Linked DNA regions of Sus scrofa. Each later gene encodes a partner of the first gene's protein in a complex. Links are inferred from orthologs where the notes say so. Each region holds a gene or a part of one and is shown on either strand. Other genes may lie near its edges.

Region 1 (9,204 bases):
CATATGGAGGTTCCCAGGCTAGGGGTTGAATTGGAGCTGTAGCTGCCAGCCTACACCAGAGCCAGAGCAACGGGGGATCCGAACCACATCTGCGACCTACACCACAGCTCACGGCAACGCCGGATCTTTAACCCACTGAGCAAGGGCAGGGACCGAACCCGCAACCTCATGGTTCCTAGTCGGATTCGTTAACTACGGCACCACGACGGGAACTCCATTCATTCTTCTTTTTGCCTTCGAGGTTCTGGTCTCTAGGTTCCCACAAATACCACCTATGTTTCATTTAGGATGATCTTTTCCTTGATGATCTGATATAATGTCTTGTTTTGCTGTTCGCAAAACAAAACGGTTCACTATGTTACCGGAAACAATGACCTATAAAAAGTTATTTATAGGAAGCAGAATGTGAGCTACAATAGAACGTCTTTTGTGGGGACTCATGCTCCTAAACACACTACTTTATTTCTTCAGCATAAAATCCTTTGAGAGGTGTCATCTATTCAACCTTATAATTAAGGAAACTTTCTCTCGGTGTGTACCCATAACTCATAATATGTAGCTCAGATGTGTGAGTGAAGTTAGTTAAGAGTTACATTATAAATAAATTGAATGTGAAAACATTTTCTCATTTTTTTATACTGTACATACATCTACTTTTGCAATGCATACCCTAAGGAAGGAACTGGTATTGAGTGAGACAAGCATGAGAAGAATTAGTTCTTAACATATAGTGTGCTGGTTTAAACTTCTAATTTTATATCTCAATTTAAATGATTAAACTGTAAATATGTTATACAGTTTTCACCCAAATGATTAAAATATAAATTTACATTTGTTTCATACAGTTTTCACCAATGATTAAATTATATATTTACATTTGTTTCATTTCAGATAGTTTTCACCTAGTGGTTATGGGTTTGATTATGAACATTTCGATTTGATTATGAACATTTCGAAGAAGCTGCATCCCCACTTTCCAGAACACCGTCTCTGCTGTTTCCTAAGGGAAACAGGGCGACAAGGTCCTAGGTTTCTCCAGGAAAGACATGCACGCGGGGGTTGGGGGGTGTGTGCGTGCACACATGCGCTCACAGATCTATTCTATGGAGGTTACTCTAAGTCTGTCTGAATCAGGGCAGTTCTCCTGGTAGCCAAAATTAACTCTGGAGACTACTTAAAATAGAAAAGTTCTAGGACAGCTGTGTGACATGATTAGCAACAAAATGGCTTAAGGCTAACTAATTTCATTAACTCTTAAAATAAAAAACTTAAAGACCTGTATCAATTCTTTGCTGTGATATATTTCTTACAAATTCTTCAAAACATTAAGTTCTCTCATTACAGTAATTTTAGCCTGTTTGACTAGTTTTCTTTCTAGTGCCTACATATCACAAAGACACAGAAAACTGGTTCTGGGAGTTCCCGTGGTGGCTCACTGGCTAACGAATACAACTGGGAACCATGAGGTTGCCGGTTAAATCCCTGGCCTCGTTCAGTGGATTAAGGATCTGACATTGCCCTGAGCTATGGTGTAGGTTACAGACATGGCTTGGATCCCGTGTTGCTGTGGCTCTGGTGTAGGCTGGCAGCTACAGCTCCGATTACACCCCTAGCCTGGGAACCTCCATATGCTGTGGATGTGGCCCTAGAAAAGACACACACACACACACACACACACGAAGAAAGAAAACTGGTTCTGAAAACAGTACTAAAGGGACAACTCATTCGACATCAATCTGGTTCCTAAATTTTTTTTCAAAGACTCTACTTGTTACCAGTCAAGAAAAAAAGCTTATCATTCACTATCCTATCCGAATAAAAACCAGTTCAAAGCAAGTGATGAGAAGAGGGAGAAGGGTCATTTATTTTCAGTAACCAGACCTTCTGTCACCAAATCATAGGGCCCAAATGACCAAGCATAGGCAAGTCCATGTGGTAATACAGTCTTCAAACGATAATCATGTTCACATTCTCAATAGCACAGACAGGACCATTTAATTCTTTTAACAGAAGACAATCATCTGCTCAGTATCATAATAAATAAATATTTCTATACTAAGACATATCATGAGAGAAGCAGGTCTGAAAACAATGTCTGACTCACAAGCACTAATCCAATCAGCTGGGAAGTACTTTCCTAACTAAGTACTCTTTCTAGGGAAAAAAAAAAAAAATCACTGGAAATTCATTTCTAAGGTTAGAGTCTTTAACAATCATGGGGGAAAGAAGTACAGAGAATAATTTTATTTTCTAATTTTATTCTAAAATACAAACAAGACTCCTTAGAATTATGTCAACATAACTCCTTGATGTATTTTTGTTTCCAAATTTCTAATATGAAAGTCATAAATATTAGGCTTGAAACTGCTGACATTTGAGCAAAACTAACAGCACACCAACAAAACAATTTTTTTAAATTATCAGTTACATGAAACAAGCAATTCCTAAGTGTAGGGATTTGAACTACAAAGCTTATAAAAGAGCTCTACAATTACCAAAATCTCAAAGGCCAAAAAAAAAGACAACAGGAATTTTTTAAAACCAAAGATGTTTTGAAGCAGAAAACTAGCTCAAATCACATGAAACAACTTGGACAAGATTCTGATACAAAATTGCAACTGAGATGAAATTGAAAGAATATTTGAATTCAGTCCAGTTAAGCCACAGTGCCACCTAAAACTTATTTCCTTTTCTAAATGAAACCAAAGTTATCTCAAACTTGTAAGCATTTAAATGATCTGAATTTCCTTTATTTGTCCATGAAACATATTCTTATAGCAATACAATGTGACAGAAAACCAAAACACATCTCTGCAGGATACTATGTACCTTCTTTGTCACAGATAGCATCAAATACATTTAGGTTCTTCCAGAATTCTAGAATTTCAGGTAAATTGCTTTACTCAAATAAAACACTGCAAAAGAGTGAGGAAAATAAAAATTTCTACCTTTGACGGAAATGCCATTAATTTCTGAAAAAATGAATAAAATTCACAGCTTTCAGATCAAAACATCAGTGCTTTATCATTTTAAGCGCCTTAGTTTTGTAGGAAAACTGAAACTAAGTTTTCTTTATTCCAGTTATATGGTACTGTGTCATTCTTAAAAAGCAAGAAATCTGCATTTTTTTAAAAAACTTCTTTTCCTCAAGAACAGTGATGATAGATTTAAGGTAGTCTGTTGGCAAAGAATGAGAAATGGTTCAGAATCTGCCCAAGTGTAACAAGTATTAAAATCATGAGAGGTTCAACAGTTATAGCTGGATACAAGAAACTAATTTTCAGGTCCCCAATTCACTACTGTAATTAACCTTAAATTAACAAAAAGCCATGATTAATAAAATCTGTTCACTTTGTTTACATAACTCTAACTGGATCCTGGAATGGGTCAATGTCTGGGGCACACTCCCTACCCAGTACCATGGCAAGAGCTCCCAGCTGCAAGGTTAGTGCAACTTCTACTTTAACAGGTTCTGCAGCATGGCCGTGGCATATGTGGGCCTAGCCTGTCTGCTCTCAATTGCATTCTGAAGATACTGGATGCCTCCACAGCGTTCCCAAATTTCTTCGAACTGTCTTGGCAAAATCTCTGCACCACGCTTTCGAGTCAGGCCTGTCTCTTCAAGATTCAGCTCACACATCTCCATGTCATCCTTACCTGCAAACACGAGACATCAGAGAATTACCACACCTCCTTCCAGAACCATTTACTGTAAACTTTACTCCTGACATGTCTATCAATTTGCAGAGATTTGAGAACTTTTAAAACTTTATTTCAGAGATTATTACACTAAGTGAAGTCAGAAAAAGACAAATGCCATTATGATATCATTTACATGTGGAATCTAAAGTAAGGCACAAATGAACCTATTCATAAAACAGAAACAGACTCACAGAGAAGAGACTGGTGGTTACCAGGGGGGAGGGAGGAGGGAGTGGGATGGACGGGGAGTTTGTGGTTAGTAGATGCAAACTACTACATTTAGAATGGATAACAATGAGGGCCTACTATATAGCATAGGGAACTATGTCCAGTCTCTTGGGACAGAACATGATGGAAAAGAATATAAGACTATATATATAAAACTGAGCCACTCTGCTATACAGCAAAAACTGGCACATTGTAAATCAACTATACTTTAAAATATTTTTTAAAAAAACCTTTATTTCCTTCAAGATTGAAATCTGCTTAATAAATTGGCCAGAAATAAATCTGTCCTTGAGCAAGTACCCTTTCAAAATGTATTAAAAGTGCAGTTGATCAAACCAGTTACCAGGGTTACTAAAAAGGCTACATTTAACCATTAGAAAGCAAATGATACAATTAAACACCCAAGAAAAGGTTCTTAAGACACAGATAAGTTTCTATGTGTTCTACAAGGACATAATTAACCCAAGCAACCTCACACCACAAATAAGTGATCTTCAACAGAGATGACTTAACTGCAAAACTCCATGCCTGCTCCTGACCCTGAAGTTTAAGGAAAGATTACATCATGGTATATTACACTGTTTCACTCTGAGGGCACGTAGTCCTTTTATGCTTTATAATTATTTTTGATTGCATGTGAATCATACACACCAGCCACAAGGAGGATGGGTGGTTTGTCAGGATGAAGTTCCATTTGCCGGGCGATCCACGGTCCATCAAAATGGGCATACCACCAGCCTTTCTTCTTATTCTGAGGGTCTTTGTACTGGTCCGCAGGGCGGATGAACGGAATGCGGAAGAAACGCTGCTGCCGGTTCATTTCGATCTCCTGCTGCCTGGCAGGGAGCTGCACTGCTGGGTTCTGCTGAGCTGTCACAGGGAATAAGGACAGTCACACCAGGATAACGAAAGCAGCCTTTAATCCTAAAGTGCACCACTTGTTTTTAAAAAAGGAAGAAGAGGGGTTCCTAATAGTCAATTTCAAGCAAAATGTAAATATGAATTGCCTATAAATGAATATAATTCTAAGTGCGATTTCTTAGAAATTTCTTTCCCTGAAGATGTATCTTGGCACTGCAAACATACACATATATACATACACATACACACATATACACGCACATACACACATACACCCACACCAGCAGCAGCAGCAGCAGCAGCAGCAGCAGCAGCAGCAATAACAACTACCAGCTCCCAGCAGATTCCCACAAATGATTGTACCTATACTAAAATGATCTTACATGGCAGGAGAGCAAACTAGTGTTGTTTGCTCAACTTATAGTTTTCCTCCAAGGAGTTCAAGTGAAGGCTGCAGAATAACTTTTACAGGATGATTCATGATGGAACAACTAGACAGTAATTTCACAACTCTCCAGGATTATAGGCATTTGTCAACTGAATCACAATTTCCTCAAAAAGACCTAAAAGTTTTCTCCTTTGCCAACTGATTTTGGGGTTTAAAATGGCCCAGATAACACAAACATTTTACTAACATAACTTTATGACATCAAAACCCTAACAGTAAGCATGAACTTTCACTCAGAGATTCACTTACTCTGAAATCAGACTTCTGGAAAAAAAATCCACTGAAGATAAGTGGAAAGTGTATAATATTTGGTTCTCCTTGCTAACAGAAAAGAAAAATGCTTACTTTTCTGCTAATACTTTGGGTTCCTAGCAATCTTTTTTCCCTTGCTCAATTTTCATTACTAAACAATGAGAAGTTGTTTTTTTGTTGTTTTTTGTTTGTTTTTGAAAATAAACAGTTCTCTGGTACAATGACTATATTTTTAGGAGTGTCATTTTGGTAAATCTGTTTAATATGGGCTCTATGCTCACAACTTTAATCATTGACTGCATCTCAATTAAGAATCTCACTGAAAAGCTAAGTATGTCAATGAAAAATTATATAATATGCATAAGTCAAGGACAGTCACATGCCTTTTTAAGATTTTCCAAGTACTGAAAGGATGAAATTACTCCTTATTTTTTACACCAATAGTAAAAGGTTTACATTTACCAATAGCTGAATTTATTTCCATGCAAACAAGAGAGAGCAAAAAGCAGTTAGCAAAGATGTATATGCCTATGAAGGAAAGGAAAAGACCCAGATTTGTTAGTGACTTAAAAAGCCGTAACCTTTAGCACATTAACAGAGATGAGTTTATTTATTCTCTTGTTCCTGTTTCCTCAAAACAACTTACAGTTTAGTGTATCGATTTCAAGTTTTAAAAACTATCTACTCTTCAGAGAGTATACTAACTCAAAACTAAGACATTTTATAAAACAAACCCTTCCCTCTGTGTTAAGTAGTGAATTAGAGCTCAGTGTTCCTTGACCAGAAACACTGCAATACTAATGGCCACCAGTAAGACTAATCTACTTTTATTCTTTTAAAATAAAAATATTCAATTGGATTTTTTTTTTTTTTTTTTTTTTTTTTTTTTTTGCTTTTTAGGGCCGTACGTGCAGCATATGGAAGTTCCCAGGCTAGGCTTCTAATCGGAGCTATAGCTTCTGGCCTACACCACATCCACAGCAATGCAGGATCCAAGCTGTGCCTGAGAACCTACACCACAGCTCACGGCAATGCCAGATCCTTAAACCACTGAGCAAGGCTAGGGATCAAACACACATCCTTATAACCACTGGGCCATGAAAGGAACTCCTGAAACTAATTTCTAAACAATCATTTCTTTCAAATCCAATTGTGTTATTTTAAAAGTATGAATAAGTTTCAAGTGTAGCCCTGTAAATTAGTATAAGCACTTTGTTTTTTGCTATTTGGGGGCACACCCACAGCATTATGGAGGTTCCCAGGCTAGGAGTCGAATCAACCTACGCCACAGCTTATAGCAATGCTGGATCCTTAACCCACTGAGTGAGGTCGGAGATCAAACCCACGTCCTCATGGATCCTAGTCAGGTTCATTAACCACTGAGCAACAAAAGGAACTCCATTAGAAGCACTTAAAAAAAAAGCATGTTCAATGAGTTGGCAGATAAATATGGCATTATATTCAAATCATTACTGCTCAAATGACTTATAAGAAATCTACTGTACACAAAGATGACTCAAAGCTTTTAAACTATCAAAAAATAGGAGTACCCAATGTGGCTCAGTGGATTAAGAACCTAACACAGTGTCTATGCAGATGCAAGGTTAGATCCCTGGCCTCCCTCATTGGATTAAGGATCCGATATTGCTGCAATCTGTGGAGTAGGCCACAGATGTGGCTTGGAACCAGTGTTGTTGTGGCTATGGTGTAGGCTGGCAGCTGCAGCTCTGATTCCCCACCTGGCCCAGGAACTTCCATTTGCTGCAGGTACAGCCCTAAAAAGAAATAAACAAGTCAGAGGATTGTGGATTATTGTTCAAACTGCAATGGGCTGTGCAATTATGATATCAACTGGATTCAGAATCACTTGCCAGGAATGAAGCCTCCAGAACACTGACATGGGCAGTAAAACACATGGGCCAAGCCTCAGTGGCCAAGGCTATTTCTTCTAATTGGAGCTCTTCCTAAACCTGGGCTCACTCTGACGGTGCCTTGTTCTGTTTCCCATCACACATCAGTCTAAGTTCCTCCATGAGTGAATGTCAAGCAGTGTTGGGAGCTATGATGTACCTATGAATGGTAGATTCTGAGGACACATAGATGAGGAAGGCTCCATCCCTTTTCTGAGGGATTTTGTAGTCTAATGTGAAAGAAGACATAAGGGGAACTTCCATATGCCATAGGTGAGGCCATTAAAAATAAATAAAATAAAAAACTGCACCATGGGCAGCTATAAAAGGAAAAGAGGAGTTCCTGTCGTGGCTCAGTGGAAACAAATCTGACTAGCATCCAGGAGGACACAGGTTCGATCCCTGGCCCGTTCAGTGGGTGAGGATCCAGTGCTGCTGTGGCTGTGGTGTAGCCTAGCGGCTACAACTCTGATGACCCCTAGCCTAGGAACCTCCATATGCTGTGGGTGTGGCCCTAGAAAGACAAAAAAAAAAAAGAGAGAGAAAAGAATAATCTCCCCTTCCTATTAAGAGGTATTCTATTAAGCTTGTACACATTATCATATAAAACTCAAATCTCTCTGGACAGAAATGCTTATACTATAAGAGTATATGAAACCACCACCTAAAGTTATTTATTCTAAAAGATCAGCTGATTATTGAGATAGAGTTTTGCTACAATAAGAATTGTGTATATACTCAGTTTAAAAGCTAGTTTTTTTTAAAGGAAATTATTTGATAATAATAAATTAAATTTTGCTCTGCATATATATTTTGGAATGATCCAAATAAAAGCATCATCTCAAATCAAATATCTTAGTACAGATCCACCAACATTAATGGACTATAACTCCCCTTAAAATTGTAGCAAAACAATGTTTAATAGAAGTTAGTACTTTATAAAGTATTTTTAGCCCATCTTCCAGTTAGCTCATGAGTTACCATTGACTTACGTGAATTGTTCAAAAATGGTGCAAAATCTGTGAACAAATATTTGATATTGAAGAAAAGATAAAAATGCCAAAACTGTTGACTGAGCATTCTTCTAAATTATAATGCCTTCCCATCAATGGAGGTGATGACTACAAATAAATATCCTAGCCAGAGCCAAATAATCCCAGGATTACCTACAAGTAAATGCTCCTTTCCAATTTTTTTTAAAAGCTATTTTGATATATTTTCAGGAAATTCTGCTTAATAGATGTACAAAGAGGACCCAAGTTTTTGTTTGTTTTTTTTTTTTTTTTTTTTTTTTTGTCTTTTGTCTTTTTTGCTGTTGTTGTTGTTGTTGCTATTTCTTGGGCTGCTCCCGCGGCATATGGAGGTTCCCAGGCTAGGGGTTGAATCGGAGCTGTAGCCTCCGGCCTATGCCAGAGCCACAGCAACGCAGGATCCGAGCCGCGTCTGCAACCTACACCACAGCTCACGGCAACGCAGGATTGTTAACCCACTGAGCAAGGGCAGGGACCGAACCCGCAACCTCATGGTTCCTAGTCGGATTCGTTAACCACTGTGACACGATGGGAACTCCCCAAAATTTTTTTGAACACAGTGACAGCCAAACAAAAATCTGAAACAATAACTTAATACTATACATTATAGTAGCTTTAAGGCACTATAAGAATTCTATAGAGAAAAAAAGAAGCATTTATAAATTCATCAAAAAATATGTGTTTTGGAGACAAAGTATTGCCACATTTACACATACTAAATATGTTTTCATTGCCTAACATTATCTTAAATCTTAAACTCATGACATTTTTA
Region 2 (9,204 bases), on another chromosome or scaffold:
GATCAAATCTGAGCCACAGCTGCGATCTACAACACAGCTGCAGCAACACTGGATCCTTAGCCCACTGTGCCAGGGCAGGGATTGAACTGGGGAACAAGGCCACTGCAGGTGGACTCCTAACTCACTGCATAACAGCAGGAACTCCCCTAGGACCCAATTCTAAATACCCATCTATGTCTTACACATTTCCAACCAAACTGTTCCTCATATTTCAAATTCTTAAGACTCAAAATTGTGCTGTAAGTACAATTTCTCTTCCTATTGCCTCACACAAGTCTATTTCTTTTCCAGTTTTCCTCCTCTCAAAGAATGACACCATACTCAAGCCACAAATCTGTAGGTCATCACTTGCAATTTCCTTTCCTTTACCTCTACATCCATTGGGTTACCAATTCTACCTTCTTAGTGTCCAGTGTTTTATGCAGATAAATGTCTAACAGTCAGCTTTCCAGGTTTAAAAAAAAAAAAAAAAAAAAGCCTTGACCTGCAGCACCTGCCTATTTCTGTGATGTAAATGGCGATTTCAAGCAGCCAACTTGATACCACTGCACCAGGAACATAAAATTGTAAAGAGATGAGCACATAGGGCTCCAGCACACCCCTGTCTATTCCTCAGAACCACGTCTTATCTCCATGTCTATTGGCACTGCCTTAACTCAGGGTCTCATCTTCATTCTCCTCAACACAAAAGAGTCTTTATTGAGTCTTTATTGAATAAATATTGATTTATTTATAAATCAATAAAGTCATAATCCATAAATCAATAAGTCATAATCCATTCCTCCCTCTGACAGTCTCCAAATATAAATTTCATTATGTTTCTCCCCTGCCTAAACTACTTCAGTGATTCTCCATTGCTCATTTTCTATCTTCATATATCAGGCCCTCAATAATTTGGTCCCCACTGACTCTGGAGCTTCATTTCCTGCCACACCACCATCTATAATCTCCATTCCACTACATCAATATACATCACATTCCCAGCTATATGATACTGCCTCATGCTTCTGCACCTTGTCTTATTCTATTCCTACTCGCTAGGACAGCTTTCTCTGATTTGTTCACTGAGCAAGCCTCTTTTAAGATGCTGCTTAAATTCCTTCTCTGGAAAGTTTTTCCTAAATGCCTTGGTTGCTTTGGTGTATCCCACTTTGAGATGTCCAGTACATTCTAACACCCTTTTTGAAATTTTTTGATATCCATCTATTCCCATTAGGTACAAGTTATTTAAAAGAAAGAATTAGATCTTTTTATGGATATACCAAGCATGTAGTATAGTGCTGGAACCCAGTAGGGTCTCAATAAATAGTGACTAGCACCCCAGCAACAAGCACCCTAAGACCAGCATATGCTAATCACTCAAACATTCCATGAATGAAAACATACTAGTATGTATTTTCCATCTGCCCAAAGCCATAGGACTGCTAAGATACCTAATCTGTAACTTCTATATTGTTAGGAAGTCCAAGATCTACTGCCACAAAGAACTTGCACTATCTTTTCTTTTCTTTTTGCTTAATATTAGTTTCCTAGGGCTGCCATAACAAAGGACCACATGGCTTAAACAACAAAAACCTATTTTCTTACACTTATGTAGGCTGTAATTCCATTATCAAGATTTCACCAGGGTTGCTTTCTTCTAAGGCCTCTCTCCTGGGCTTATAGATGGCTGTCTTCATGTTCACATAGTATTCTCCCTCTATGTGTCTCCATGTCCAAATGTCCTCTTATAAATACACCAGTCATATTGGACCAGCAGGCTACACCAATGACCTCGTTTTAGGTTAATTACTTCTTTAAAGACCCTATCTCTAAATGTAGTCACATTCTGAGGTATTGAAAATTGACTTCAACATACAAATTTTAGGGGAAGCAATTTGGTCCATAATGGTCCCCTCCCAGAGTGAGCTTCTCAAAAGGCAGGAGCTATAGCTTAGTCTTCTTTCTTAGTATCTGCTATGGCTAGCACAGTATCTGGAACACAGCAAATTCTGAAATTTTATTTCTGGGATACATAAATGAAGGACCTTCCAAGAGTACAGTCCAAATCTACAAAGTGAGGCCCCTTCAAATATGATGGCTTTAGTCTTTTCTGAGAGAAAGCTTGATACTGTTATGGCCTCCAGATATCTCATTGCCAAATAACCATTTATACAGCACCTAACTCTTAGAATAATAAAATCCTTATAACAAGACACCCAAAGCCAGTTGCCAATACCCTCATCTCTCTAGATTCTGACACACTCAGACTGACAGCATCATGCATGGCTATAGTCAGATTCAAAGATAAGAGAAAACTAACCCTTCTCTGCCTAAAGAACAAGGTACAGCAGCTTAGAGAAATGGTAAACATCTGCTTTTTCCTACCCAAAGGAAACTCCCCCACTTTCACTGCTCTGTGTGATTTTGATGGGTCTTGTAGCCTGCCCTCCCACTATCAGGATGGACGCATAACCTAATCAGTCCCCTTCCACTCCAGGAATTTGAATCCTCAGTGAAGTAACATGAAAATAAGGAATAGGAGTTCCCCGGTGGCTCAGCAAGTTAAAGATCTGTCATTGTCCCTGATGTGGCACAGGTTTGATCCCTGGCCCCAGAACAGCCACATGCCCTGGGAATGACAAAAAAAAAAAAAAAAAATTAGGGAATAACTGGAAGGAGGCAACTAAGCCAGTACCATGAAGGGTTCCTGGTTTGCACATCCCTGAAACAGCCTTGGTTCCTACCTTCCCAAGACTTGATTGTCTTTTTGTTTCTGAGACCTACCTGATAGTCTTTCCAAAAAAAAAAAAAAAATGCTTTTTCTTTAAATTATAGATAGTGCTTATTCCAGAGCTCTCAAATAATCTTGACACAAAGAGTGGCCGCTACAAGAGGGATGTGGGTAGGGACCTAAATGATGCAAATAGAGCGGGCAATAAGGGTTCCTTTATCAATGGCTGAGAGATTGTGTTCATAACCTTTGTTATGCTCCCACAAAGCAGCCCCCCATCCTGTACTTTGGGACACTGTCTAACAAACCTCCCCAGAATAAATCTTGAGCGAAGTTGGTTGGAAAAAGTCAAAATACTGGAATGTGTGGCTATTTCCGACAGCTTTTGAAAAAGTCCCAGAAATGACTTAACTTCAGCCAAAATGGCCTATTTAAATGCAGAGAAAAGAATTTTGCTTCACTTTGCCCTTTCTCCTGGTAGGAATCCAAGAGGACAGAGTCAGACAATCATGAAGGACTTTAAATCTGAAGCAACGCATCAATGAAAACGCTAGAAAAACAGAGGAAGGAAGGACACAAAGCAAAAGATTAGACTGAGATGAAGAGAATGGAGCCAAGCATGGTTCCCCAGGTGCCTCCTGATATATGCTCCCTCACTGGAAAAAGGCCACGCACAGGAATGAGGCCACAGGATGAGGAACAAACTAGCATTACCTTTATCCTAGAGGCAAAAACATCACCAAATTTAAGAGCTGAAGGATGGGCAGAGCAGTGAGGCCTACTTCTAAGAGAGAAGTTCCCAGGCTAGGGCCCCAAAACAAAGATTAATCCACAGAGTGGAAAATGCATTTAGACCAGCAGATTTAATTGGGGTTAAATTGAGATAAGCTACTGTTGGGACCTTGGAGAATAAAAACTTGTCCCTGCTCCAAAATCAGTCTCCAGGTATCCTAACCCCCACACCATCGGAACATGCGATGCCAAAACAATATACTCTCATTAGGAAACTACTACTCTTTGTCATTCTCAGATTTTTTTGTGGAATTCATGTGAAGCAAAGGAGAAGGTTCAGGGAGTTCCCTGGTGGCCTAGCAGTTAAGGACTCAGCATTGTCACTGCCGTGGCTCAGGTTCAATCCCTGGCCTAGGAACTTCCACATGCCACAGGTGCAGCCAAAAAAAAAAAAAAAGAAGAGTAGCTTCAGGAGGCACATAGGCAGTAAAGTACATTAACCATCTACACATGGGTCTCAGATATTGAGGGGGAAAAATCTAATCATGGAGCGATAATAGCTAAACACAGTGACCTCTGTAACAACCAAGACTATTACCAACCTCACATTCAAGTTAAGGTGTATCAGCAACTTGCTACAAAAAGCCCAGGGACCACATGATTTACATGCAGGCAAGGAAATATAGGAAGAGATTAACTCTAGAAAACAGATGATGTGGAGGATATAGATGTAGAAAGAAATTCCATTCCTTGAGTTGTACTAAGAGAATAACTTTGATTTACAAAGAGCTTAAATCGAATACTTACCATCAGCCTAACCAACCTGAAAGTTGGTTACCAAACAAAGCCATTACAAAAGGACCTGCTGGATAGAAATCTGAGAGCTGGCCCACCTTCCTCTGCAGGAAGAGAGCTCAGATGCTGTTATACAACAGGCAGAATCTGAGTCTCTGCACCAGCGGTTCCTGGAACGGTCCCTCCAGGAGCAGCGCTAGGCAATAAGGCGTCCTTTTCTTACATTTTTTTTTTTTTTTTCAGAATTCTGTCTCCCATAAGCAATACCACTTACACTGTATTTCTAGTAAATGACAGAGAATTGCTTGGAAGCAGAGACAATTTCTCAATTTCAGATGGCTAAGAGTGGACCCTTACTTGCTAAGGGAAGGGAAATGTGTTTCCCCAGACCCACTGCATTCTCCCATCATTATCCTGAATTGCCCTGAGAAAATAGCCATTCAAGACAAATGGAATATTTATGTTTTGTGAGCAAAGGGAAGAATATTAGGTGGGTGGAGTTGCCGGGTGAGTAAGGGCAGGCCCAGAATGATTCTGCCGAAAAGTATTTTAACACTGATGAACACTAAAGCATCAGTTGGCTTATTAAAATAGTGCTGGGTAGAGAGAGAGAAGCTGGCACATTTTCCTGTAGATGAGATGGCCCTGGGGGTTTGAACAACAGTTGGAACACAGCTGCCATGGCTAAAACCAAACAAGTACAGATGTCACACCAAAGCAGAAGTAATTTCATATCGGTCCACATTTGCCAAATTCAAAAGGCTAAGGGAGGAAACGCATTGAAGGAAGTCTTTCAGATAGACTAGCTAATTCCTTTAAACACCAATTCTGTGTGTAGCTAAAGTTTTTGCTGTTAAGGTCCATGAATGACATTTACTACTGTTTAGAGAGCTCAATCGAAAATCTCCCTGCTCAGCAGGATGAATGCAATACAATGTGCTGTTCTTGGCATCTGGAACAAATTCAGAGCCACTAGACACTAGACTTTATAACTCCAAATGTCTTTTTAAGAAAATGTCCTTCTAGGCAATTTTTTTTCTCCTTCAATGCTTGTTTTCCTTCTAAGCAGTGCTGTCTACCATTTCCTATGCTCTTAACTGATAGGCATAAGCACATGGCGCTATATTCCAGGACTCATGTCCCTTAAAAGATAAGCCAGGGGAACATTTCACTCACCAAAGGCCTTTTTAGGTTCTATTAACTTCAAGGTAAAGAGTTCCTCTTTTTTTAATTCCTTTAACTTCTTGGCAACATCAAAGTGACGCCACCCAACGATATTTTCTCCATTGATGGATTCGATGTGGTCCCCCACACAGATCGTTTTAACAGAGTCAATTACACTGCCATCTTTAATTCTCTGAAAGAAAATTAAGGATAATGCTTAATATAAAATAGAACTGAGTAACATTACTTTTCATGTTCTTGAGACATTATATTCAATGTACTGACAATATCCATAATGCAGTGTAATGTTCCCTTAAAGACAGAAGACCAAGCAACAACAGACAACCGTCCTAAACCCAACCCATTCTTCTTGTTTCTTTGCAAAATTCAGCTCCATCACAGTCCCCACCTCCTCCAAGCAGCTTTTCCTGACACCTCCCAGCCTATTCCCTCAAGACTAGGTAAAGGGTCCTCTCATGCTTCTGCGGTATTTTCTGCTGGGCTCTGAGCTAAGCACTTTACATTCGCTATCTCGTTTAACAACCTTTATGAGAGACTCAGGTCATAGATCAGGAGGATCAGGTGATTTCACAGATTCAACATACCACAGTGCAATTGTTCATTTACCCCCTCAGTCTCTGCTGTTAAATTATAATATCCTTGGGGACAGAGATGGTCTTATTCACCATTGTACGCCCTGTGCCCAGCATAATGACCACACAGAAAAATCCCTCCTTAAATGACTGCTGAATCATTTCAACATGAGGTCCATTACATCAGAATAAAGCCTGAGTTTTTTCTACCAGCTATATTATTTCAACCTTAGCTACAAATGCAAGACAAGAATTGGTACAACCTTAGCTCAGAAAACTGGTACTTAAAGAGATAGGTGAGGTTTGATCCCTGGCCTCGCTCAGTGGGTCGGAGATTCGGCACATCTGTGAGCTGTGGTGTAGGTTCCAGATGTGGCTCAGATCCCACGTTGCTATGGCTGTGGCGTAGGCCAGCAGTTGTAGCTCCGATTTGAACCCTAGCCTGGGACCTTCCATATGCTGCGGGTTCGGCCCTAAAAAGACAAAAAGAAATAAAATAAGCGTTACATTGGAGTTCCTTTGTGGCACAACAGGTTAAGAATCCGGCATCACTGCAGCAGCTCAGGTCATGGCTGTGGTATGGATTCGATCCCTAGCCCAGGAAATATCACATGCCATGGGTGTGGTGAAAAATAAAATAAAAAATAAATAAGTGTTATATGAAACTAAATGAAACACTTTAAAGACATGTATGAATCTTATCACCTAAACAGCAGAGTAGCCACAGAAGTCCCCAGAACAGGGCTCAGACAGAAGAAGGAAAGGCGGTTACCAGAAGTCAGCAGGCAGCAAGGTGAGAATCCAGGTGGTCAAGAGAAATATGTAATGATCAGGGGCAGCAAATAAGATTCTGGGATGAAGAGAGGAAAATCAGGATAAGAAACTTAGAAAAGGGCACCATAAGTGAACCAGATATAGAAACAAAGTAGGAGACACTGATTGTATATTTTGTGGGTTACCTGGGCCTTAGCTTCCTAAATAAATAGATAAAGAATGAGGTAGCAATTGAGACAAGTTTCTGAAATCTAATATACTTTACTAATCATACCATAGCTTAATAGAGATGAACAATATTACTAGAACTCTGCTACTCGGGCACAAAGGACTAGCAAGGAAAAAGAGGCATTAATTCTCTATTTATCATTTACTGAGTCACTTAACATTCTCTGTAACACTTAGAACACTCCCACATCTCGCTTTGGAGCTCAGTCCTGCGAAAGGCAAAGACAACAGCAAATCTTTTTTGGACAATGGGACTCACAATACTATTCAACTTAGAGGTTCCCAAATATTTCAGACCATCATTATATTAACTTTCATTAATTCATCCCATATAATTAAAGAATTCTAGATTCTCATCACAGAACAGCAGAACTCTAGCATGCCAACCCACTGTCCATAAAGTCTTTTTTTTTTTTTTAAATGATTAATGATTTTTATTTTTTCCGTTATGGTTGGTTTACAGTGTTCTATCAGTTTTCTACTGTATAGCAAAGTGACCCAGCCACACATATATGTATATACATTCTTTTTCTCATATTATTCTCCATCATGTTCCATCACAAGTGACTAGATATAGAGCAGAATCTCATTGCTTATCCACTCCAAATGCTGTCCTCAAAGTCTTAAGCACTAATTCAAGATTGTCTGAGCCAAGCCTACTGCCATGGAGAGCAACTCAGAGTCTGTGCTGCTGACTCTCCAAACACTGGCCTCAAACCATGTTCATAATAATGAACATTCTGGTAACAACTATAAATAGTGATTTCATTTAGTCCTAACAAGCCTGGGAAAGGAATATGTATTATTCCATTAGTGAATGAGGAAATCAAGGCACAGTGAAGACATGGCTTAACCAAAATAACACAGCTAAAAAGCAACATAACTGGATTTCTTTTTTTAATGATTTTTATTTTTTTCCATTATAGTTGATTTATAGCGTTCTGTCAATTTTCTACTGTACAGCAAAGTGACCCAGTCAAATATATATATCAAATATATATACATCTTTTTCTCACATTATCCTCTATCATATTCCATTACAACAAAACTGGATTTCAAACACGGGGGGTATAAGACATCAAGAACTTTCCAAAAAACACTCCGGATCAAAAATGTCTAACTAAGAATTCCCATCATGGCTCAGTGGTTAATGAATCCAACTAGGAATGATGAGGTTGCGAATTCGATCCCTGGGCTCACTCAGTGGGTTAAGGATCCGGCATTGCCGTGAGCTGTGGTGTAGATCACAGACTTGGCTCGGATCCCACATTGCTGTGGCTCTGGCGTAGGCTGGTGGCTACAGGTCCAATTAGATCCCTAGCCTGGGAACTTCCATATGCTGTGGGTGCGGCCCTAAAAAAGACACACACACAAAAAAATGTCTAACTAATACAAGATCAAATGGCTAGTTAAAAAAGAAAGGGCCATCAGATGAAGAACCCAAGATCTTCTGATGCCAAGGGCAGACTCTGGGGTCAGAATTATCCAAAATGACTTATCACCTTGATAATCATTTTATGATATATAAGTGTATCAAACTGACACATTGCACAACTTAAATTTATACAGTGTTATATGGCAATTACATCTCAATAAAGCGGGAAAAGTGACCTATCACCTTTGAACTCCAAATTTTTTAAACAATCCCCACCCTCCTACTCCACTTTTTCTTACCTCTACCAAAGCTATTCTTCGTCTGAATCATGGCCTCCAGATCTCAAACGTTACCTATTTTCTCAGATTTCCACTTCTATTTTGGCTTTATGTGCCTCTTCTCAAAGATATCAGCTTGCATCCCAGAACCCCCTGCCCCCCTTGATTCGACCCCTAGCCCTCCATATGCCTCAGGTGCAGCCCTAAAAAGACAAAAAAAAAAAAAAAAAAAAAAAAAAAGAATTTCATCTGTGAGAACCATGCAGTACTATTAAATACAATTCTCTGCCATTGATCTCATCTCCTAATTACATGATGATATATTGTTGTTGCCATTACTCAGTATTAGCTTTTATAAGTACCATCAAACATTTCAAATGTCATTAGTTTACACCCAAATAATCATATAAAGTATGAGCTAATAGTTTCATTTGAGAGAAGGCATAGAAAAGTTTAATAACTTGTCCAAGATCACAAAGCAAGTAAATACATGGTTGAACCAAGACTGAAAGCAGGGAGTTCTCATCATAGCACAGCAGAAACGAATCTGAC

Evidence for each region.
Region 2: the proteins of MYO6 (region 1) and GIPC2 are in contact, whole or in part, in a crystal structure (PDB 5V6H), measured with the Mus musculus proteins. The link is inferred for Sus scrofa from reciprocal best matches to the Homo sapiens genes MYO6 and GIPC2. Residues at the interface, in NP_001034635.2 of Mus musculus: Ser1055, Lys1056, Trp1057, Lys1058, Tyr1059, Arg1084, Arg1085, Leu1086, Val1088, Tyr1089, Trp1092, Lys1093, Asn1096; in NP_058563.1 of Mus musculus: Glu255, Leu256, Tyr257, Met258, Gly259, Ile260, Asp262, Asp264, Leu265, Thr268, Thr289, Leu290, Asp292, Phe293, Ala294, Pro296.

Annotation. Positions count from the first base shown.
Region 1 is NC_010443.5:89,991,023-90,000,226, forward strand, and holds the end of MYO6 (unconventional myosin-VI), read right to left. Parts: intron 8,421-9,204; coding exon 8,394-8,420; intron 4,801-8,393; coding exon 4,582-4,800; intron 3,658-4,581; coding exon 3,458-3,657; 3' UTR 1,838-3,457; downstream 1-1,837. UniProt on the Homo sapiens protein: Myosins are actin-based motor molecules with ATPase activity. Unconventional myosins serve in intracellular movements. Myosin 6 is a reverse-direction motor protein that moves towards the minus-end of actin filaments.
Region 2 is NC_010448.4:135,174,050-135,183,253, forward strand, and holds part of GIPC2 (PDZ domain-containing protein GIPC2), read right to left. Parts: intron 5,598-9,204; coding exon 5,417-5,597; intron 1-5,416.